Astyanax mexicanus: one gene and its partners. The protein of the gene in region 2 interacts with the protein of the main gene of each other region in a biochemical or structural test. Links are inferred from orthologs where the notes say so. Each region holds a gene or a part of one and is shown on either strand. Other genes may lie near its edges.

What was found.
Region 1: the proteins of kpna1 (region 2) and kpnb1 form a complex in vitro, tested with the Homo sapiens proteins (6 studies listed by BioGRID and IntAct, with this or other methods). The link is inferred for Astyanax mexicanus from reciprocal best matches to the Homo sapiens genes KPNA1 and KPNB1.
Region 3: the proteins of kpna1 (region 2) and nitric oxide synthase-interacting protein form a complex in vitro, tested with the Homo sapiens proteins (2 studies listed by BioGRID). The link is inferred for Astyanax mexicanus from reciprocal best matches to the Homo sapiens genes KPNA1 and NOSIP.

Annotation. Positions count from the first base shown.
Region 1 is NC_064410.1:32,300,430-32,308,158, reverse strand, and holds the start of kpnb1 (importin subunit beta-1), read right to left. Parts: upstream 3,025-7,729; 5' UTR 2,770-3,024; coding exon 2,730-2,769; intron 1,494-2,729; coding exon 1,435-1,493; intron 130-1,434; coding exon 1-129.
Region 2 is NC_064408.1:95,811,413-95,818,980, forward strand, and holds the start of kpna1 (importin subunit alpha-5), read right to left. Parts: upstream 3,076-7,568; 5' UTR 2,953-3,075; intron 2,335-2,952; exon of another isoform or gene 1,761-2,334; intron 1-1,760. Other genes in the region: si:ch211-161h7.8 (thiosulfate:glutathione sulfurtransferase), read left to right, coding at 6,242-6,380. UniProt on the Homo sapiens protein: Functions in nuclear protein import as an adapter protein for nuclear receptor KPNB1. Binds specifically and directly to substrates containing either a simple or bipartite NLS motif.
Region 3 is NC_064426.1:19,991,492-19,999,475, forward strand, and holds the start of nitric oxide synthase-interacting protein, read right to left. Parts: upstream 3,048-7,984; 5' UTR 2,954-3,047; intron 2,924-2,953; exon of another isoform or gene 2,819-2,923; intron 2,605-2,818; 5' UTR 2,589-2,604; coding exon 2,519-2,588; intron 1,752-2,518; coding exon 1,646-1,751; intron 574-1,645; coding exon 492-573; intron 378-491; coding exon 242-377; intron 1-241. Other genes in the region: polr3d (DNA-directed RNA polymerase III subunit RPC4), read left to right, coding at 5,403-5,564, 5,660-5,703, 5,807-5,961, 6,422-6,546, 7,659-7,842. UniProt on the Homo sapiens protein: E3 ubiquitin-protein ligase that is essential for proper development of the forebrain, the eye, and the face. Catalyzes monoubiquitination of serine/threonine-protein phosphatase 2A (PP2A) catalytic subunit PPP2CA/PPP2CB.

The DNA of each region.
Region 1 (7,729 bases), on a different chromosome or scaffold from region 2:
GTACTGCGCTTTCACATCAGGGTCCTTGGACGTGAGGGAGTTTTTCACCTGCAGCCCGGCAGCGACTCTGGCTACCTGGGTGTTTCCAGGATTAGCCAACACCTTGGAGAGCTCCACCAAGAAAGTGGGCTGAAGAGAAGAAGGAAGAACACAAAGTTAACAAAAATTAAATATAACAAACATTTTAGTGGCAACATAACAGAAGCCCCTACTATTTGGGCTGACTAAATTCAAATTAACAGGGTAACATAGGCATAGTTATGACAATAAGTTGTTGCATTAAGCTTTGAGTACATTGCAATATTTTCCTTACAGCTGAAACACCAGCCAGCTGCAGATATTATATAGCACAATTATATAGTCCTGTTTCATAAAACTCATTGTGTGAAATACTGAATTTAGTACAACACTTATAGTACTTCATAACTTATTTTAGTAAAGCAAACAATTGTAATGCACATAGTTATTTTTAAAAAAAGCTAAATATTAAGACAACACTTGGCTGCTCCATGTAAAAAAAAAAAAAAATCTCTTCTTCCTATGAGGGAGTTTGTCACTTGCTAATGACTGGTTCACTCAAAAAAGGGCTGGGACTAAGTTGCTTTGTTACAACACTGATACAAATAATTGAACTTCAGATATGTTGTTAGGGAGACAAACTCCTTGGCTGTACAGTGCAATCCCTGGAACTAATCTTAGAGAACAAGCTCATGTGTAAATAACCTGCCTGTTTTTTTACAATTAACTTTCCACGGTCAGGCATAAATCTCACAGCACCGATGGCAATAAAATAACTAGGCTGCATTGAGATCAAATTCAATCCACCAAACCAATCAATAGTATGATATCAGATAAATGTAGGTGAATTATATTGCTCTGGTCAGAATGCAACTGTCAAGTAGGAACAAAGTCAAAGAATTGGAGGGATACGTCTGATTTTTACACATCTGTAGCTTTAGGAGGCATTAAATGAGCCAAGATTCAGTACAGCTTTACAGTATCGTTTAAAAATAAATATCAGTTTATTTACTCAATTTGAATCTTATCAATCTTGTGTCGTATATAATGTTTACTATACAGCAGTACATATAAAGCAAACTGGCTTACTGTCTGACCGGTTTATCTGGACCTGTAACATGGTGTAATGCACACAGCTGTGCAGGCATTTGCGGCAGGACTCGCCGTTTAAATCAAGGGATTAACAATCAGTGATACGGGAGTTACAGAGGCCCAGTGGCCTGCTAACGGTGAGCTGCTCCATTCAGGGCAACGTGTGGAGGAGAGAGAGAGAGAGAGAGAGAGAGAGAGAGAGAGAGAGAGAGAGAGAGAGAGAGAGAGAGAGAGAGAGAGAGAGAGACCAGTGCTCACTGCAGTCAAGCCTTCATCAGTCTGCTCGAATTTAAACCAGAAGAAATAAAGCTTCACGAAACTTACCAGATTTTCAATCGCTGCCTGCTCCAAAAACTTCTGCGCCGCCTCCAGCTCATTTTGATCTGAGGAAAATGACAGACTGTAAATGAAGCTTCAGCAAACCAACCGGTGTACACAGTTAAAGTTGGAGAGACACAGTAAACGCACAACAAAAATTATTAAAAAGTAGAAAGTTTATATCTAGCTATAACTCTACTAGTTAACTAGCTAAAGCCGTGTAAGTTAACGCTAGCTAACGTGAACCTCCCCTTTTAAGATGTAGCTACCACTCCCTCCCGCCGGGCATGAAGAGAACCAGTCCCGGTATCCGCTAACATACCGGTCCAACCCAGCCTGCAATACCGGCCAACTCTAGCCCAATTTCAGCGTTAAAAACACATAATAATCGGCACAGACGCGATATCTCACCTATATGTGCGAATTAAGCTACTGATCTTTTTTTATTCCCCGAGATCTGCGCGGCTATAAACCTATAAACTTTTAATGAGCCGGCTAGCTAGATTTTAGCGCTCTCTAGCTAACGCTAAGCTAGTCTTACGGCTAACTGAGCTATCGCCAACTTCTGACGGGTTAGCAACCGACAAACTTACCAAAACGAAATTCTTTAGTAAATAACGCCACTTTTGTTAATTTATATACACTTTACACACACAGAAAACGCACTAAAACGTTTACGTGGGTGTTTATGGACCCAGTACGGACTCAAACGGCTCACAAAATCAGCCAAAAAACCCGCGCCGAGTTAGCTAGCCAACCTAACGCTAGCTTGGTTAGCTAAGCTAGCGAGCTAACGGGCCGGTAAACGCTAAAAGCTGACAGCTAACCGCGCATTTTTCAACACCCGCCCCACACTACATCACCGCCCCGACCCTACGTTACGACCTTTCTATTTATTAACGAGTTAAACCATATATATCATATATAAAATCAGCATACAGCACACTGTGAGCTGAAGGAAGTCGCTAAAGTTGAATCCAACTAGGTATCCGCCGTTCGAGTTTTCAGTCCACCTTAAAACCCGTGCCGCAGGTTCACTGTGGCGCTGCGATACGACGTTTAAGGTGGAACTGAGAGTTAGAAAGAGCGCTAACTTCAGCGGCGTCCCAGCTGGGCCCATAGCATGCTAACATAGCTGGCTAGCATAGAGTTAGCCGCCTTGCTAGCGGTGCCTAGCCCGAACCCAGCCTGTCAGCCAGCATTTCAGAGCATTTTAGACAATCTTCCCCCAGAACTGAGGCAGCGGAACTGCAGCCAGCCTGGGAGGAACAGCACAGGGTGTTTAGAGATTAAAGCGGCACCTGGAGAGACGGTTTTCTCGAGGATCGTTATCAGCTCCATCCCGGATTAACACCTCACACTCGGGCTACAAGAGAGGGGCTAACGCGCTGCAGATGAAACAGTGGAACTCTCGGAAATGCCCCGCTCTCTCTTTCCCCCGTCTCTCGCTCGGCTCTCCGCACTTGGCCGGTTGTTTGTTTCCTCGCCTGTTTGTTGTTTGTCGTTCCGCGTGCTCTGCTCCTCTGTTCCAGCAGTTCGCACTCTGCCCCGCGTGCGGAGGGAAAAGAAAGGCCCGCGAGACTCCCGCGGTACGATCACGCGCATGCGCGCTGCACTTTAAATAAATAAATATATAAAATACCCGTACACCCCTCCTGCGCGCTCCCGTGACTCAGCATGCGCGCTCTCCAGATGAGGACAGGTTCTTCAGAACATTTTTTATTTTATTATTTTAATATAATTTATTTAGGAATAAATTAGTGAATTAACCCATCAAAGCCCAGACTCAGTTCTGAATATTGATCTAAAATGAAAAATGTAATCGGTTAAATTAATTGAGCAGCTCATTCGTGTTTTTTTCTTATTGTAATTAATAAAAAACACTAAACTTTTAATATTTTATGGTTAACATTCCAATAAAACATAAACAGTACAACAATGTCATAAGTTGTATTTTAACATTTTATTCTAGAAATAATATCAGCACCAGTTATATACACTTTTTACTATATGATGAAGCTAGAACTAACTACCTCCAGAACTAACCCAGCACTCCTACATTCTGTAAATAAGACCAGATAAACAAGCACACATCTACACACTCTACTGTAATGCTCCCAGAAGGTTCAGTATGCATCACTTAGGAACTTCATGAGTTTAAGTGAAGGACAAAGTGCTTTAAGTAACTTTACACATCTTTTAAAGGCTCAAATCATCATTGGCTGTTTTGGGATAAATACGTGTTCATGTGTTAATATTAATGTTATTTATTTAATATTTTGTTATTATTTCGATGTGATTTTTTCTGTTAATTATTGGATCATAATATTAACAGGGTAACTTCAAGAATCTTTAACATGTTGCTCTGTGCTCACCCTGCAGATAATTTCACCGGGTACCTACCTCAATCCCAAATTCATAGCCAAGAAAGCCCAGCAACATCTTGTAAAGACTGAAGAAAGCTCAGACTGAGGAATCATCCCTATATTTTACAGAAGGACTGTAGAATCACAGCATCTCTGTCCTATAACCTATATAACCTATAACCTAATCTAATATTGAGGACAGCTGAGATCGTCTTTAGTCTCCATCCTCTCCATCCTAAACAGAGGGCCATTTTTGGGGGTCCCAAGCAAAATGCATTTTTTGCCAGCTGCAGGAATCACAAACCTGGCTGGATGATTACTGTCAGCAACTAGTGGAAGGGCCCCTTGAGGGGGATTCCGGTATCAGTGTCATTGTACTTTCCTGCAGTGACCATCACAGAATCATCATAACCAGTCAATGTCTCAGGGCCCTAGACAATTGATTGGTTTTTCTTGCCTTGTTGCAACGGGCCTGATATTTACACCACACACCAAATCGGCAAAGCCATCACTATTATAAAAACTCTCCTCAATCCCCTACAGAACCTTTTTAATTAGTGATGCTGTCTGACAGAAGGTACCAGAGCACCTCTGCTCTGACTGGCGTGCTCCTCAATAAACAGCAGCTCTGGGCCACAGTCAGAGAGGCTGTAAAGTTTTGGCTCATAGTTTCCATTTGTACAGTTGCTGTTATTGTATACAAGATGTCCTCCATAGTACACCCAAAGTACAGTCTGATCATTATTAATGATTGGATGCTTAATTACCAGTATTAATTACTGAGTGATTATTAATTAGGTGCTTGTTGTTCTCAGGGTTTTCCTTTCTGCTTGGCAAATGAGGGCTTAAACCCGTTGGCTGCTACTTTCCCATAATCCCCTGGTCCGATCTAATAAGGGGCGCTCACTGTAATCCTCACAAACTTTCTGCTCCACTTGTTTCGAGTCTCATATCTGAGACCAGTAAATAAATGTGCAGTACTTAGTAAATACAGAAATAATAATCGGTTATAGTTTAAGTTTAAAAACCTGAAAAAGAGCTGAATTGTTTGATGCTTTTGTGTGGAAAATTTGAGAGCAGTATTAAAATAATTACCAATAATAAACAAAAATGTCCTACTAAAGGTTTTTATAAACCTATTAATTCTGGACTTGATCTAAGACATTATCAGGTTGTATGACTCCCTTGAGAGGCAGTAAGAGCAAAAACTGTCCCTGTCCTGTTGCTGCTGTCTCGCGACACCCACCTACTGTCCCGTGACACTCACGTACTGTCTCGCGACACCCACCTACTGTCCCGCGACACTCAGGTACTGTCTCGCGACACTCACGTACTGTCTCGCGACACTCACGTACTGTCTCGCGACACTCACGTACTGTCCCGCGACACTCACCTACTGTCTCGCGACACTCACGTACTGTCCCGCAACACTCACCTACTGTCTCGCGACACTCACCTACTTTGTATTATGACACTGGAAATATTATATAATAGATTTGATGGTCAAATCTAGGGGAATTATCTCATAAGTCTTAAGTCGTCTCAAAAAAACTAAGATAAGACACAATGTATCACATTGCGGCACAGTTAAAAGCTCCACAGGACAGTTAAAAAGCTCTGCAGGACAGTTAAAACAGTTAAAAACCTCCGCGGTACAGTTAAAAAAAACTCTGCGGTACAGTTAAAAACCTCCGCGGTATAGTTAAAAAACCTCCACGGTACAGTTAAAAACCTCCACGGTACAGTTAAAAACCTCCGCGGTACAGTTAAAGAGCTCTGCAGGACAGTAGGAGAGTGTCGCAAGACAGTAGGAGAGTGTCTCGGGACAGTAGGTGAGTGTCGCGAGACAGTAGGAGAGTGTCGCGGGACAGTAGGAGAGTGTCGCGGGACAGTAGGAGAGTGTCGCGGGACAGTAGCAACAGGACAGGGACAGTTTTTGCTGTTACTGCTGCTGACTCCCTTTTAGGTTTAAATGGTTATGGTGGGCGAGATAACCAGCCTGTTATTTTTTAAAACATGAGAGTTTTAGAACAGTAACACTTTTATTTATGATCGGGTGTTCAGCAATACGCAGTCAGTAGTATAAAGTTTACTGAAACTATTGTGTTTACTTTCTTCGTTTTGAATGCTTGACAAGCTAGTGAACTAAAGTAGACGTTTTTGTGCTAGACTTACATGATAAATTCTAATTTTACTTCTCTTGTACTCTGTACACTATTGGATGAATATAGTAAAACATTTCATAATTGACAACTTTGGGAGATACTCTGAGGGGAAAGTTCAGGTCAAATTTTTGGTATATCTGAATTCTAACCAGTTTGATTTTTGACAGTCTGGACAGTCAAAAAATACATGAAATAATTTTTTAAAAACTGGATCCAAACTGCATTTGGAAGTGGTTTAAAATGCAATTGCATTCGGATTTGTAAAGATAGGTCTCTGGGTGATCAAATCTGATTTTATCATTGTCTTTGCATCACTTACAATGTAATAAACAGCAGTTTCATCCAATTCAGAGTGATGGAAGTGGGGAGTCCAATAAGAACGACAAAGATTAGGTAACGACAGTGACCTTGTTAACTTATCAACTCATTTAGATATGCTTTTAATGTCTGGACATGCACAGTCATCTCAACAAATCTGATTTGAGAAACTAATCTGACTTGCCTTAAGTCTAAGACTAACCACAAAAGGATACATGGACAAAAGTATTGGGACATGTCTAAATGACTGAACTCCAGGATGTCCTCCCTCCTTAATATTCCATAACTGTGATTTTCCAGCTGTGAGCGGTATGTGTCTGACCATGTACAGGTACAGTGCAGATGTGCTGACTGCTGAGGAGGGCAGTGCATAGAAGTTTCTAATGCTCTTAAAGCTTCAAAGGGAAGGTAAACTCTATATTAATGTCTCTGGGTTCAGAAGGGGACGACGTCTTAAAGGCCACGTTCACATTACAAACCAAATTGTCCAAAAACGTTTTTTTTTTTTTTTTTTTGCTCAGATTGGATTTAGATATCTTGACGGTTCACATTCTCAAATGTAAGTGACCTGTATCTGTGTGTAATGTGAATGAATATGTCCCTGAAACACCTCACATGCGCACACTGATTTGTGTATAAACGTCGCCTTCTTCACCACCAACACAAAACGTCATATTTGAGAGGCGACTCGTAGCTTTATAAAGGGAAATGGATGAGTTAGCAGCTCATATGTGGAGCATCTTTTGCTGGAGTGGAGAACAAACAGCTGGTCTGAAGTACAGTTCAGGTCGAGGAGAAAAAAAACAACCAGGCGGTTTGCTTTTGCAGTTTTTGCACCCATAGCTGCACCAAGAGAAGTGTGGGTACGAGAGAGAAGCACATAGGGCATGCACAAAAGAAAAAGATGCATAAATTCTGATTTGACCATTCACATTCATTTCACATGTCAATGTATCGAATAGGTATGTGATTTAGGACCATATGAAAGTGACTAAAATCTCATTTGAAAAAAAAAATTGGCCACATTGAGCAAAAAAAAGCAGATTTTTCTTCAGCCTGGTAATATGAACATAGCCAAAAGCTCATGTATGTGTAATATGTAGGTGCCCTAATACTTTAGTCCATGTAGTGTGTTGATACATTTGAAACAAAAAAAGCTAAAGCTAACTTTAGCCTGGTGTACCAAATTAATAAATCAGAGCTAATAAGCTACTCAAATATAACAGGCTAACATAGTGATATTTCAAACTAATACTAACCAACCTAACCCTACTAACAGGGTTAAATCATGATAACATAAGCTAATAGTGCAATAGGTAAAGGTCAGTCAGAGATCACAGTAAATTAACTAAGGATTGAGATGCGAGGTCCACCTGTGGTGACACCCATTTCACATCAGCTCAACTGCAAAATTCTAGTAAGACTAACAAAGTAACATGAAGCAGGAAAAAA
Region 2 (7,568 bases):
TTAGATCCACCTCTTTAAAGGGCACTGAACTTTCAATTTATCATAGTATACTTTTATGGGACATTGTTTTATGCATTGGTCTTTTGTGGCTGGCTAAATAAAGTATTAATATTTATTTGTAATGTTTATTTGTATGTAAACAAACACGCAAGGAAACACAGAGGAAGATTCTAAGGTCAGAAAAGTGTGAGGTTTTCAATGTACTGTATGATTCAACGTAAATATCCTGACAGGCCCATAGTTAATAATAAATAAACAAAAAAATATGGTTATTCAATGCATTACATCCATGAATACAAAAAAACAGATTATTAGAATTTCCCCTACTGTTTTAAGTGGTGAGTGCATTCACAATATGCTTTTAATGTTTTAATGTTTCACATATTAAATATTTCTGACCCACCTGGCAACAATTTTGCCCTCTCTTCCTCACATTTGGGCCTAATCCTAGGCCTTTGCAGATCAACAACTAAATCCTAAAGGGTGTTCCACATTTCTTGCAAACAACACAAAGAATGGTGAGACTGCCAGTGAGCAAAATAATTCAGGTTATGTTTTCTACTGCTCCTGGTTCTGGTTTTCTACTGGTTTACACGTTGCTTTATACAACCCCCTAAACATACCTTTTTGAAAAGCCTGTAATTTTCTCAGTAAACATTTAGCATCCTGAGGGACAGTGTTGTGATTCCCCGACCAACATTATTCCTATTTTCAACAAAGAATCACTAAAGATATTGCAATTTAGTCCAAGACCAGACCTAATTAATGCTCAAGAAATAGGAATGGTTTGAGATACTGGCAAAGGAACATTACTTTACAAGTTTTGGTAAAACAGTAGACAATAACAGATTACATTACCCATGAATCTAAACACTTAGTATGTTGACACTGCTACAACTGAAGAACATATCTAGAGACTGTTTGCTGAAGAGGGATTAAGTTTGTTCACAGATTATATTTTTCTTTCATTGGAATTTTTCAAATTTAAATGCTTTGCAAGCATTTGGGCTTTATTCATTTCTTAATAAGGAGAACTGTCCCTTATATCCAGGGTTGCAAAAATCTTTACAGATTTCTGTTTAGTTTTTTTTTTTTTCCTCTTCTGTCAAGTGGACCCTACTGGCAAATGTTACACTCTAAAATATTTAAAGTGAGGTTATTACTATTCCCTCAATTTCAGTTTAATAAATCATTTTCTGAATTTAATGTGGTTTAATTATGTTTGAGTATATGAACATTGTGGTTTTATTCTATAAACTACGGACAACATTTCTTCTAAATTCCAAATAAAAATATTGTCATTTAGTGCATTTATTTGCAAAAAAATAAAAATGGCTGAAATAACAAGAACAAAATATGCAGACCTTTCAGACCTCATTCTCAGACCACATGACATAGAAATAGTTCAGAAATCCACATTTGGTGGAATATCCCTGGTTTTAATGCAATTTTTATGCATTCTTGGCATGTTCTCCTCCACCCGTCTTACACGTTGCTTTTGGAGAACTTTATGCCACTCCTGGTGCAAAAATTTAGCATGAAGCACAAAAATACTCTATTACACGACAACAAGTGTAACGTTAGTGGTGTGTAGTGACCTCAGAAGCAACCAAATCTTAGATCAACAAAGTCAGAAAATTGTCCAGCAACGGTTGTCAACTGAACAGTAGGAGCTGGAGACAGTAACACGTTATTTATGTTTCACAAATAACAAAGGTATAGATCATAAAAAGGAAAAATAAAGCCAAGAAAAGACTTACAGGTATCTATGTAGACTTTGACACTACGCTTGAATTCGATGACGCCAATTCAGTGCGGTATTTCTCCTAAACTGCTGGTTAACCCCAGCACCAACAGTCAGAGACAGACCATCAGCCCTGCTGACCTAACTACATAAACAACCGTCGCTAAAGCTATCGTAGCTTAGCCTCGCCAGCTGACGCTAATCTGCCCCCCCCACACACACACACTCACAGCCACAGTGGATGACGTCCATGGGGCAGACATGACCACCTTAGAGGGATGTTTGGCTAGGAAATGTGTGCTAATTCGAGTTACAATTTGTGTGACAGTATATGCATAATATATAAAAAAGTGATAAAACGAGTAAGGACACAGCTAGCAACCCAGGCAGCTTAACATATATGTTAGTTATCTAGCTAAGAGGGCAACATTTAATAGATGGTAAAAGCTAGCATTAGCTAACATAGATTAGATATCTTAAAAACACAGCGACCTAACGGACTTTTAAACCTAATTATTTAGCTAACCTATGTAAAATTATTACAAGTAAACAAAATATCATGAAAAATATAACTAGATAGGTTAGATAACCTAGCGTTAGATAGCTAAAGCTATGTTATATAATGACATAAAGAAAACTGTAACGTTAGCTAGACAGCCTAGTTAGCGCAGTTAGCTAGCTAGCAAGGTAACGTTAGCTAGAAAAAGGCATACAAAATAAATGAGAAGGCAAATGTACCTACGCTTGCTAACTGTTAGCTACCGAGCTAGTTTTTAAGAGTTTGTGAAGGATTGGAAAAACAATCTAACTGATACAAAATAACGGCTAATCTGCGGTCTCAATTAAAAAAGGTCTTATCAATGTGGAATCTGATCTAAATCAGTACTAAAGCCTAACTGTCACCATCGACATCATTAAAAGTGGCTACACCTGTAGGTAGATGAACTAAACTATAGTGGATTAAATATAAAACTACAGAAATGTGTTTCCAGCCTTGCTGGACTCGATGTTCAGCTTTTTCGAGAATAAAGCCCCGCGGCCCCGGTGTGCGCATGCGCCACAATCAGCCGAACGGAGCCGCCTCGCCGGTTGCTCTCTCCTCTCCCTCTTGAATCCGATTTTCTGAAGCTGTCTGTCCGGTACCGAACGCGGCTCGTGTCTAAATATATGACCTCGGTCAAAAATTTTTGCCTTCTTATGACACTGACCTGTTTAAAAGCCGTCCCCGTTTACCCCGTCGTCGGTTTGGGCTGCTGATCCGGAGCGTCTGACCGGTATTGCACTACTGCGCATGTGTGACTGCGGAGGTCTGAGCTCGACCTGCGCATGCGCGTTGCTGTATATTAATAAAACGCTGGTTTAAAATGTAACCCGCTTTACAAAAAAGCCAACAAGCACAGTAAAACACTGCGTCTCTCTATATGCTGTATTCTAACCGTGCATACTGATAGAACCAGCTTTTATTAAAACTTCTCTACTGATTTACAAGAAGAACTGGCCGTCTTGGTCCCGCCTGGGGTTGCCCGAAGACTTTCAGTTTTTATGCATGTAAAGTGTGCATATTCCCAGAGGTGTCAAGTAACTAAGTACAAATATTTTTTAGGTTATCTATACTTTACTGAAGTAATTCTTTTTCTGCCGACTTGTAGCAGCTTTTTTAAACTGCATATTTAACCTGTATGAATGTTATATATACAGCTCTGGGGGAAAATAAGAGATCATTTAAAATTTTAAGTTTCTTTGATTTACCAAATTGAAAACCTCTAAAATAAACAGGAAGATGGATGATTACAAGCCATCAAACCAAGCTAAACTGCTTGAATTTTTACATCAGGAGTGGCAAAACGTTATCCAAAAGCAGCGTGTAAGACTGGTGGAGGAGAACATGTCAAGATGTATGAAATCTGTGATTAAAAACCAGGGTTATTCCACTAAATATTGATTTTTGGGATTCATCTTGCTGGAATTGTGAAAGAGTGGTTTAGGGAGCATGAGGTCATCATTTTCACACATGGATTGGCCACCACAGAGTCCAGACCTTAATCCCACTGAGAATATTTGGGATGTGCTGGAGAAGATCAGTGCAAGACCTTGGTAAAAAAAATAATGCAACACTGGACTAAAATTAATCTTGTGACATTGCAGAAGCTTATTGAAACAATGGCACAGCGAACGCGTGCCGCAATCAAAGCTAAAGACGGTCCAACCTAATAATAGACTGTATGACCTTTTGTTTTTGGTGGCGACCTTTTTTGTCCAGGCAGTGTAAATATACGTTTTAAATATATGTTTGGTGTTATCATTGAGTTTTATAACCGCTAGATGGTGCCACTAACCTACACGAGTAGTGCGGTGTGTTAAAGGTGTCTGATGGAAAACTGGATTTTATTTTAACAGAAAAATATATTTTAGAGGCAGAAAATTGAGCTGTACAGTGTAGCACATGATGGGATTTAATATTAACACTAGGACAAAAGTTGCCAAACAATTCCCATAAAATTACGAGAAAATACCATACCTAATTTAACAATTTGTAACTGTAAAATGACACAATTTCTTTGTGTATATTATTTGTTTATGTTAGGGCCATAATTGTATATTGTTAATAAACATTCTTAAAATGTAATAAAATAAATAAAACACTGCATTAATATATGTTTCATCTAATTATTGTATTTTAAGGTGAATTCAGTTTAACACCCTTTCAAAACAGAAGGATAATTTTTAAAAGCACTAAATGAATTCAATGCTTAAATGGGTTTTTATATAAAGTGCAGTGTTATTTCTGTAATGTTTTATTAGCACTTGAAACTGAAAAATCTTTATATAGCACTTGAACTTTTTCACATTTTTTTCACGTTACAACAACAAACTTAAATGTATTTTATAGAGATTTTAAGTAATAAACCAATACAAAGTAGCACATAATTGTGAAGTGAAATGAAAATAATACATTGTTTTTTAAATTTTATAAAAGAAAAATATGAAAAGTATCCAGCCTTCTTTACTCTGTACCCCTAAATAAAATCCAGTGCAATCAATTGGCATCAGAAGTCACTGAATAAGTTAGAGTGCAGCTGTGTGTAATTTAGTCTCAGTATAAATACAACTGTTCTGTCGAGGCCTCAGTGGTTTGTTAGAGAACACTAGTGGACAAACAGCATTATAAAGACCAAGAAACTCACCAGACAGGTCAGAGATAAAGTTATAGAGAGGCTTAAAGCAGGGTTAGATTATAAAAACATATCCCATGCTTTAAGCATCCCAAGGAGCACTGTTCAATCCAACATCCAAAAATTATTATTATTATTACAAATTATTGCAAATGTATTTTGGTGGCAGCGTGAGCCATGTTTACTAAGAATGTTTACCCGTCCCACCCGTCATAATTTATAGTTTATGTATTAGTAGTAAATCAGTGTTTTAATAGATATGGAACTCTCAGACCTTTTTACAGCCAGAGCTTATCAATTCACCTTGATTTCAGTTTCTAATTTATCTTCTTTGAATGATGATTAAATCAGGCAAACAGTGGAAAAACATGAAGGTGAAAGTATGCAGTATAATAAAAACATTTACCTTTTGTAAATTTAAAATCACTGGCATGCATGTCTAAAGAAATTATACCCAAAACCTAGTCCACAGAGCGTTTTAATACCATTAAAGGCCAACAGTTCTATGTGATAGGTCTAATCCTTAGATGTCTGCACCATTCAGGAACCCAATAAATTGTTTATTATTAACTTAAAAAGCAAGTGTTTCATGTCACTATGCTCAGAGAAATGTTAGTTTAAATCCCAGAGCATGCTGTTTGTTTTAACAACTGTACTCTAAGAAAGCACAGTTGGTCATGCTAGTGTGATGTTGGTCAGCAAAGGCATCTGTTGGCTGATGTATCAAAGCTTGGGAGGTGCGCTTTCCTCAGAGTGGGCTGGCTACCCAGTGATGCTAAATCAGGTCAGTTTAAAAATAGGCGGTGTCTAATGTATGCTGCTTTATAGCATATATGTTCTATTTTTAGATGGCTTATTCTCAAACATTTTTTTTTCTTTAAAATTAGGTCAGGGGAATGTGAAGGACAAACACTTTTTGTTTACTACATAATTCCATACATGTCCCTTAATTGTTTTGATGTCTTTGAAATTATTGTACAATGTAGAAAATATATTAAATAAGGAAAATAAAGAAAAACACTGAATGGAAGGTGAGTTTACTGGTCCTGTATATTTTAATATATATTTATCTCAGCAGCATGTTTTTGTCTGGAAGGTTGTCTTAGTTGAACCCTAATAGGTGGTGGCCAATAGTCAGAATGTACTGTTGCTCATTAAAAGCAGTGTGTGTGTATTAGTATCCTTATCTTAGGTCAGGGGGATGTCTTGTTCACGTTAACTATTAACAGACGCTAGGGGGCAGCATTCACACTGCGCTATAAAGCAGTCGGTCTCTGCGCTCTGTGGCCTGTGGACCATAGTTTGCAGAGAGACCCCAATAGAAATGACAGTGTTTCCAGCTTTGCGGCGCATCAGTGCTGCAATTAAACCAGTTTTCTCCGTTTACTGCCATGGAGGACTCGCATCTGTCCGTGGACTGAGAACATCAGCTGTCAGCTTCAACCCAGATCCATCTAATCCTGGTAAAAAAGAGTGTGTGGGGGGGTCTCTTTATATTGGCAAAAGATTATGAATTATTCATCAGTGCCCCTCTGATGAACTTTAAAAAAATATATATATATATAAAACATAATTTACACAAGGTAAATTGCTATAAACAAATAGCAGGAGATGTTTGGAGCTGTATAAGTCTCTATCTCTTTCTGTGTGGGGGGTCATAGGGCATCTTTACCAAGGGCTGTATCCTTATCATATCTTGTAACTTGCTGATGTGGGGCTCTCTGCACTTCTAAACAAATGAATGAACAGTTTCTACTCATCTTCTGCTGTGGTTGTGTTGGAGCTTTTATAGTATGTGCTGATCACAGCAGCGTGATTGTTGTAGAGATCAGTTGAGACGGCCGGGTCATGGGTCACACTCACGTTTTATCCTGAACAGCTTTTTGTCTATCTCTCTCTGAAGCTGCTTCAAAAGTTTTACTACTACTTTACATGTACATTTACATCTACTTTTGGTCCACAGTACAAAGTTATAAATTACAGATGTCATACACACATAGACTTTTCTCTCTCTTTTTTTAAATATTTTAAATTTAAATATGCCATCTTTACAGACAAAAGAAATAACCATGTTCACAATGAAGGTCACAGTAAAAACATGTCATTTTAAACCATTTGTATTGGTTCGTTATAAAATATGGGCATAAAAAGTAAAAAACAGCATGTGATAATGTGATTTTTTTTCAAGATTTAAAGTTAATTAAAACATTTACTTTTGACATTTTTATACATTTAAAAATACATTTATTTCTGTTTTTCTCTTTTTACATGTTAAATTGAGTAAAACACAATTTTAAGAATAACAGTTAAATGTATTTTTACTTTAATTACGTAAGTTTATTTAATGATGGACTGAGCAAAAGTAAATTAAATATATACAAAATTCCTACAATTAGCTCAAGGTATAGTTTAAAGCAGTAATATTTAATTTCTTGATTTCATACTCCCCAAACCGTCATGTGTAATTTACAGTTTAAACCAAGCCAGTCACGCTTTACTCACAAATTTGTGTGATATGGTGTAATGCAGGATTTTACACAAACAGGATCCTGCACAATTCCAATGTTGCATCACACAGTAACAGCATGCTGAACCTGGAATACCAGCTATTAAAATGCTGTTCTCCTTATTAAAATTCAGATATTTTTATG
Region 3 (7,984 bases), on a different chromosome or scaffold from region 2:
CCTACTGAAGCAAAGCAGCCCTACACCAAACCAATTACCCTAATTTTCCTACTTACCTACTATTGTCTTAAGTCTTCTTTAAACCTTTATCTTTAGGGAACCAAATGTGGTTATTTTATTTAACAAATTCTTTTTAACACTGAATATAGACTCCTCTGCATGACAATAAATTAAATAATATGAGGTCATAAATGTACATAAGTGTATTACACAAACATGAACTGAATTTGTCCCCTTGTACCTGAAATAAAAGGATTGATTGGTTTGGAGACAATGCTGCCCTCTCTTTTCTTGAACTTCTCTACTTTCTCCCTCTCCTCTGAGCAGGACTCCAGCTGTCCCTCACTCTTCAGAGCCTGTTTCTGCTTCTCGTAGGCCTTGGGGAGTTGAAGCATATAAAAGAGAGGGAGAGATAAATACTAATATTGTAAGGATTGTAGTATAATATACAGAACGTAAAGAGTTGAGCTGCAGTCAAAGCCTTCACAAACCTTCATCTTCTTAGCAATATCCAATTTCTGATGGAGAATGTACTCCAGTATTGCCTCTCTTTCATAGAGGAATCCATCTTCACTGTAAAGCAACAGACACATGAGAATAAAGATCTAGATCTCCTAGAGAATTATCTTGTTTTGTCTTTTTGATGTTTATTTGTATGTTACAAAAGGACCTTGGTTTAACAACCCCAGAAATATCAGGACAGTGATTATGAATTCAATTGTGTATTATAATAGAAAACTACATAGGAAAAGCTAAGATTTAAAAAACACTGTCTAATTAATAATTTTAGGTTATTTTAGAGTAAAGGTTTCTAAATTGTTTTAAATTATTAAAACATAAATTCTAAATTTATTAAATTATTATTTATTTTTATTGATATTAAATAAAGACTAATAATTCATTGAAATTATGGAACCTTTTAAAAATCAAGATAAAGACAGAAAGGATAAAACATAAATATATAGATATATAATAAAATATATACGAGACATATAGAGTACCTGACTAAATTTGGACACACCTTCTTATTCAGATTTTTCCTACATTGTAAATGAATGCTGAAGTTATCCAGACTAAGAAGGATAACATAAGGAATCATGTAGTAAACATAAGTGTTAAAAAAACCAAAATAGTGAAGCATTTAGGTGGCTTTTATCTGTGGTGCAGTTAACTTGCTGTTAACTTGCTTTAAGGTGTGTCCAAACGTTTATTTGGATACTGTACATGAAGATAGAGATATAAAATATGTGGAGGTTGCAACATAATATACATATATACATAAAATTGTTAGCATGCAAGTAAAATGCTGTGCAATTAAATAACGATGAAAAAAAATCCAATTTATTATTTTTATTATGATCACTTTTCATATTAAGGCATTATTACTAATCGTAATTCTACAGGTGCAGATTCACTAGTGTTTATTGGACAGTACATCAAATGCCAGTTTTCGTGTTGAGGTCAATGCAACCCCTGTTTCCACTGCTGTAAATTAATTTTAAAAAATAGCTGTACAACATATTTCACTCTTAATGATCCAGACATATTAACTACTGAATAATACAGACATCATGCTCAGTTAAATCCCATATATTGTTTTAGCTGTATCTAAGTTTAAGTTTATAACTTGTGAAAGTCCACCTACGTTACAACCGGGTCTCTGCAGGGCTGTAATGAGAGGCAGCAACAGTCGAAATCTTTAATCGCGTCTTTCCCCAGGCGCACACTCTGAGTTCCATATCCAGAAGCAGCTGTAGGGAATAGACAGAGGCCATCAGAAGACAAAACAGGAAGACAGTTCTGGCTCCCACATCATGTTTTAATTGCGGTGAAAATTATAAAAAAAGAACAGGAAGTAGGAAATAGGTAGTAGGGAGTAGCAAGTAGTGAACAGGGAGTATGGAACAGGGAGTATGAAGTAGAGAGTAGGAAATAGGGAGTAGGAAGTAGAGAACAGAGAGAAAGAAGTAGGGAACAAGGAGTAGGAACTAAGGAACTGAGAGTAGGAGGTAGAGAACAAGTAACAGGGAATAGGGAGTATGGAACAGGGAGTAGGGAGAAGAGAACAGGGAGTATTGAACAGGGAGTAAGAAGTAGAGAGTAGGAAGTACAAAGTAGGGAACAGAGAGTAGGAAGAAGGAAACAGGGAGTAGGGAGTAGAAAGTAGGGAACAGGGAGGAAGGTCTTCTTAAAGCTCACTTTTTTCACATTATTAGCAAGTGTTTTCTTAACTGGGATTTGTTTACATTATAGGATAATGGAGTCCACTGTTAAAAAAGCAGACATGTGAACAATTCTGTGGTTTAAATCACATCATGAATCATAGACTCTTTTTAGGACTTTAAAATTTGGGAGCTTAAAATTTGAAAAAAAGTCTTAATAGTTAATATAAATTGGTGAATTGGGTCGAGCTGTTACACCTTCTGGACTCGTTCTGTGTTTCTGCAGCTGTATTTGTGCAAAGCTGCAAACAGAGAAAAAAAAACATTTACACATTTTAAAGGAGCCAGAAACAGACCTGTATCTTTCCTCTTCTCGTGGTAGGTGTACACAGCTCCCGCAGTGCAGTTCTTCCCGTGTCGGGTCATGTTTGGTTTTCAGGGGCTTTAATGAAGCAGAATTATAAGATTACACTTAGCTAGCTACCATCAACACAACCAACACTATTAAAACAGTTTAACTAACTAGTTAAGCTAGCGTTAGCAAGACATAAAAAACCAAGCAGTACAAACACTCCAGCTAGTTTAGCTAGCTAACATAGCTTAGCTTGCTAACAGAGCTGCTCCTGTACAACCAGGTTAGCGACAATACAGCTAACTGAAACAGTGCGCTCTTCAACTGTAGCTCGAGGTAGCGGGATAGTAGACGTCAATTTATCAGTATTTAGACTGTTTTTACATCAGAGGTATAAAAATAAAGTACTTATAAAATATCAACCGTGCAGTTTGTTTACCTCGAGCCAAGCTGGCCGGAATAGGAAGTGACCCACCGGCTTGAAAGCTTTTTCAAAATACAAGTGTGACAGGCTTCATAATTGGACAGGAAATCTCCACATCATAAAATATTAATTACATGTGTTATATATAAAAGATTGAAATGTATGTAGTGGAAAACCGCTAATATATTATGCGATAGTTTATAAATATCGATTTAATGCAGATATACTCAGAGATATAACTTACTTTTACAGAAGACAATACCCACTTGAGAATATGTTCTGGGTTTGTCAGTCACTAGAGGGCACTCCAGAATGATTCCAAATGAATGAGCTCATAGCAATTGAGCAAATCATAGATTGTAAATGGTTTATATTTTTATATTGAAAAATCTCAATTTCTCAACACGGAACCATATTAAATGTTTCACATAATTTTAAAGCTCCAGTACGCGGTTACTTCAGCGTCAGCTCACAGACAAGTCATCACACAGTAGCAGTATTGCTAGTGTCTCTGTTTACCAAAAACATTTGTTGTAGAAAAATGTTTTGCTTAATTTTAGCAAAATACTGTAATATACTTTACAAACAGTAAGAATATACTGGTAGTAAGTAGTAGACACTATTATAAGCCATTTAGCTTCATTCACCACCATTTATTAACACATGCGCTCCATTTACCGTATTTTTTATATAACTGGGGAAATTGAAAATGTGCAGAAAATAGTCACAACTGAAAAATGCTTCTGATAAAACGTAGGGAGTAAGGACTAGTGGAAAAGGGAGTAGCGAGAGGAAACAGGGAGTAGGGAACAGTTTGTGGGGAGTAGGCATAGTAGACAGTGAGGAACAGAAGTAGGCATTAAGGAGTAGAGAATAGGAAGTAGGGAATAGGGAGTATGAAATAGGCATTAGGGAGTAAAGAGTAGGGAACAGGGAGTAGCCAACAAGTAGATAGGAACAGAGACTAGGCAGTAGGGAGGCACTATTGGAATTGGAAACAAGCAGTAGGGAGTAGTCAACAAGAAGAAACAGGAGGTAGAGAGTAGGGAACAGGGAGTAGTCAGTAGGGAACAGGCAGCAGGAAAAAGGACTAGAGAGTAGGCAGTATGTAGTAGGGAGTAGGGAACAGGGAGTAGGGGTAATGCCGATTTGAGCGCACCGACATGTTTTCCGTCACTTCCTCTTTCGTGTCGTTACTAAAACTCCGCCCTATTCTAACTTGTGTCTCGTGAGATTTATTTTTATTGGTTTAATTTGGAAACTCTGAGGAGCTCAGGTAGGACAGCAGGCAGCTCGCAGGTAAATACCTCGTCGTTTTCTTCAGTGGCAGTAAATTATGAGCTAAACTAGCCCGCCGGCTCCCTGTTCAGCGGCTGAGCGGCCGGCAGTTTAGCCATGTGTTGCCATGTGTTTACAGTGAGGGAGGGAACTGCAGCCGCTCAGCACTTTTAAGTTACCTGTAGCAGAACGGTTACATAAAGTCCCTGTGAGAAAACAGTGTAAACAGCGAGGTCTGCACAGTTAATTTGGTGGCGTCTTACTGCTGTCAGGAAATATTTTAAATAAAAGGCACAAATAAGGGACTTACAATAGCAAAGCCAAAAAAATAATAATAATGAAAAAAATGGAATGGTGGTGATTTTGTGCTTATTGATATTGGGTATTTTAAGTAGTTAAAACTAGTGTGTATTTAGTGTATTTTGCCAGTTTGAATATGCAGTTTGTGGGTTATGAAGTTTGACATTAATCACAATGAAAATTAACAGGTTCTGATCCAGTATGTAATTATCTTGAATTTGTAGTTTTTAAGTGTATAGATAATCCATACTGTTAATCCAGTATGAATCTACAGTTTGACAGTAATAACTTTAAAGTAATTTTAATATAGCATGAATATGTATATGTGTCTTATGTTTAGCCAATATAAATATATAATGTGTTTTCCAGCATGACTGTAGTAACTTGAGAATATATATACACTGACAGCAGTAATAGTGACCTGATTGTAATCCTGTGTGAATATTGTCGCTGTCCGCTAAAAAACAAGTTCCTCCAAAACTGTGACTTTACAGCAAAAGGCAAAAATTTTCATAATTTCCATGGAATTCAATGCAAAATAAGAGTTCATTCCACATTAATAGATCATTTCTATTGGTCCATTCATCAATAATTATTTACACAGTGTAGAGAGCATCCACAGGATTCAAGTCATTCACAAAACATAAAACAGACAGAAATGGAGGTTTTCATTGGACAGCAGTGATGAGCTGTATGTGTACTGTTTTATTTACTAATCAGTAACCATTATGGAATATTATGGAATATTAGTATGAATCTGCAGTACTTTACACAGCATGTAACACCATATTAACAATAGTTGTCGTACTGACTATGTAATGCAAAGCACTAAACAATTCACAGCAATGATTAAATGTCAAATTTTGCATGTAATTATAGTGTGAAAATGGCCACACCAGGCTCTGGTGATTCTGGACCACCCCGTACCCCTCAGCCTGGAGGTGGTGGCAGAGGTTCAGTGCTTGGCCGCAGGCTGCCTGCTGCTCTCTCTCCCGGTCGTCTCCCCACCATGCGCTCAAGAGACCTCACACTGGGAGGTGTAAAAAAGGTACACCAGATTGCATTGTTTTCACTGGTAAAAAAAAAAAAAAACAGTGTCAGTGTATTAAGCAACTGTGCTCTCTCTCTTGTTCTGCCCCACAGAAAACATTCACACCTAACATCATTGGTCGTAAAAGTAAAGAAGAGTAAGTTTTTACATGAGTGTATTGCAATCAAATGTCTTTTCCAGTGTAATATAATGACCCTTAGCTGGCCTTACTTTACAGTAGCTGTGCTGTTTTGTTGCAGATTGAAAGCTGATGAGGGACCCAGGAGAGAAAGGAAAGATGCGGATCGAGGGCGGCAGCGAGACGGGCGTGGCAGAGGTCGGGGTCGCCCAGAGGTCATTCAGTCCCACTCTATCTTTGAGCAGGGCCCTGCGGAAATGATGGCCAAGAGGAGAGGTATGATAAAATACAGGTCAGGGGGAAATGCAATGACAAGAACCACAAAAAATTTAGTATTACTCTACCATCTATTTCCACATGCTTCTATCACTTCTGATGCCAACAGTGTATCTCTCAGCTTATTAACAAATGCATATGTACAGCCTGTTCATGAGTGGGAGCACAAAACTCAGTTTGTATTTACTGCAATGAAATAGAAGTGAATTACACTTCACAACTGTAGGGGAAACCCAGGAGAATAATACTGCTTTAAACTAGTATTAATAAACAGGCTGGGCCAAATTAAATACTCATTTTTATGCTAACTATACAAGGTCAGCCATTTAACCATTTGACCATTAAAAATAAAGAAAAATAAAGAAGCACGAATGTGTACTTTATGTAGTACCAGTAGTTCTCAGCAGTAAAAGAGAATCATGCATTTTTCTTGCTTTCTGACTTTTTGTTTCTTTGTTAGGTGTATATGATGATGCAAGAGAAACGCCCAACACTGGCCCCTCCCCCATCATCAACATTAAGAAGGAGAAGAGGGAGACTGAGGAGGAGACCAAAGAGATTCTGCGCAAACTGGAAAGAGACAACGTAAGTGTGCTTATGGGGCATGAATTCCAAAAAGGGAAATAATTAAATATCTAGCAATGGCAGTCCAGACTGAAATGTGATTAAAAGGATAATGTTTTTAAAAGTTATTTGTCTTCATAATTTCTAAAGGCCAGAAACGTTTTATAAAATAATAATATTGTAACAAAAATAAAACAAAATATAGCCAAAAGCGGCAGTCTAAGTTTAAGCACAAACTGGCACAATGATGCCTACTAGAGTAAAGGTTGGTGATGTTTCAGAAGGTCTAATACAATTTGGGACACACTGTCACATTTTGGAGATGGTCAAAAGGCTTTCATCTGTTATCATTGTTTATCAGAGTCCTTAAAACATAATCAGTGCTTAATTTTATATATACAAATCTGTTGAGGTTTGTAGAATATTCATTCATATTCGTTAGAATGTGCCAAAGGTTTTCCACATGTTGTCATTGTTTATCAGGAGTGTTCAATTGGAAAGTTCACACATTTTTTGTTTTTCCAGATGACCTTTTGACCTTTTCAAAATACGCTAAAGTTTTGAAAAAACTAGTCAAACTGACATGAATACATGTAGACTTTTTTCTAAGTCTAGTCCTGAATCAAATGGCACAGTTTTTGTCTGTAGTCTGCATACTTTGGTTTTTTAACAATTGTATATGAGGGCCCCCCATTATTTAATTAATATTAAGAAAAATTTTAGAAAAACAGATACAAATAAAAAACAGACAGCTTCTAGACAGAATACTGCTCGGACAAAATTGTTTTATTTTTAATTATGAGTATTATTGTGTACAATACGATATGGCGCACCTCTAATAGACATACATAGATGTGAAGTGGTTGATTGGATGTTACTAAAGGTGCTGGTATTATTGGAAATAATAAGAAAGCACTAAGTTTCATCCCAGTCATGCCTTTGAAACAAAAAACATAAATCTAAGCATAATTACAGATAAAGTGAAAATAAAAAAGATAAAATGAAATATAGAAATTGGACTGTAATTAAATAAACTGAACAACAGTTATGATAATTATTATAGTATTAATATCTAAAACAATATTAATAGCCAGATACTCACAAATTTGTGTGTGCACATGCATGTGCTGCAGTTTCTGGATGATCCCCATATGCGAAGCGAAGCGAGGAACTGTCCTGTGCAGCTGCCCCTGGCTGTGTCCGGCTGGGTCTTTAAGGAGGAGTTTGAGGAGGACACCAAGACGGGCCTTAAAATGGAGAGCAGCTCTGGAGATGCTGAACCAATGAACACTGAAAGCTCTGGTGCCGCTGTTACAGGTTTGTGATGTGTTATAAAGGCTGTGAATAATGACAAGCAGTGTGAGTGAATGAACATGGTGTGTGATTTAATTTTTCCTTTAGTTTCTCTTGTAATAATGACCAGGCTGTTCTGCATTGATTGAAATTTATTGTAAACATC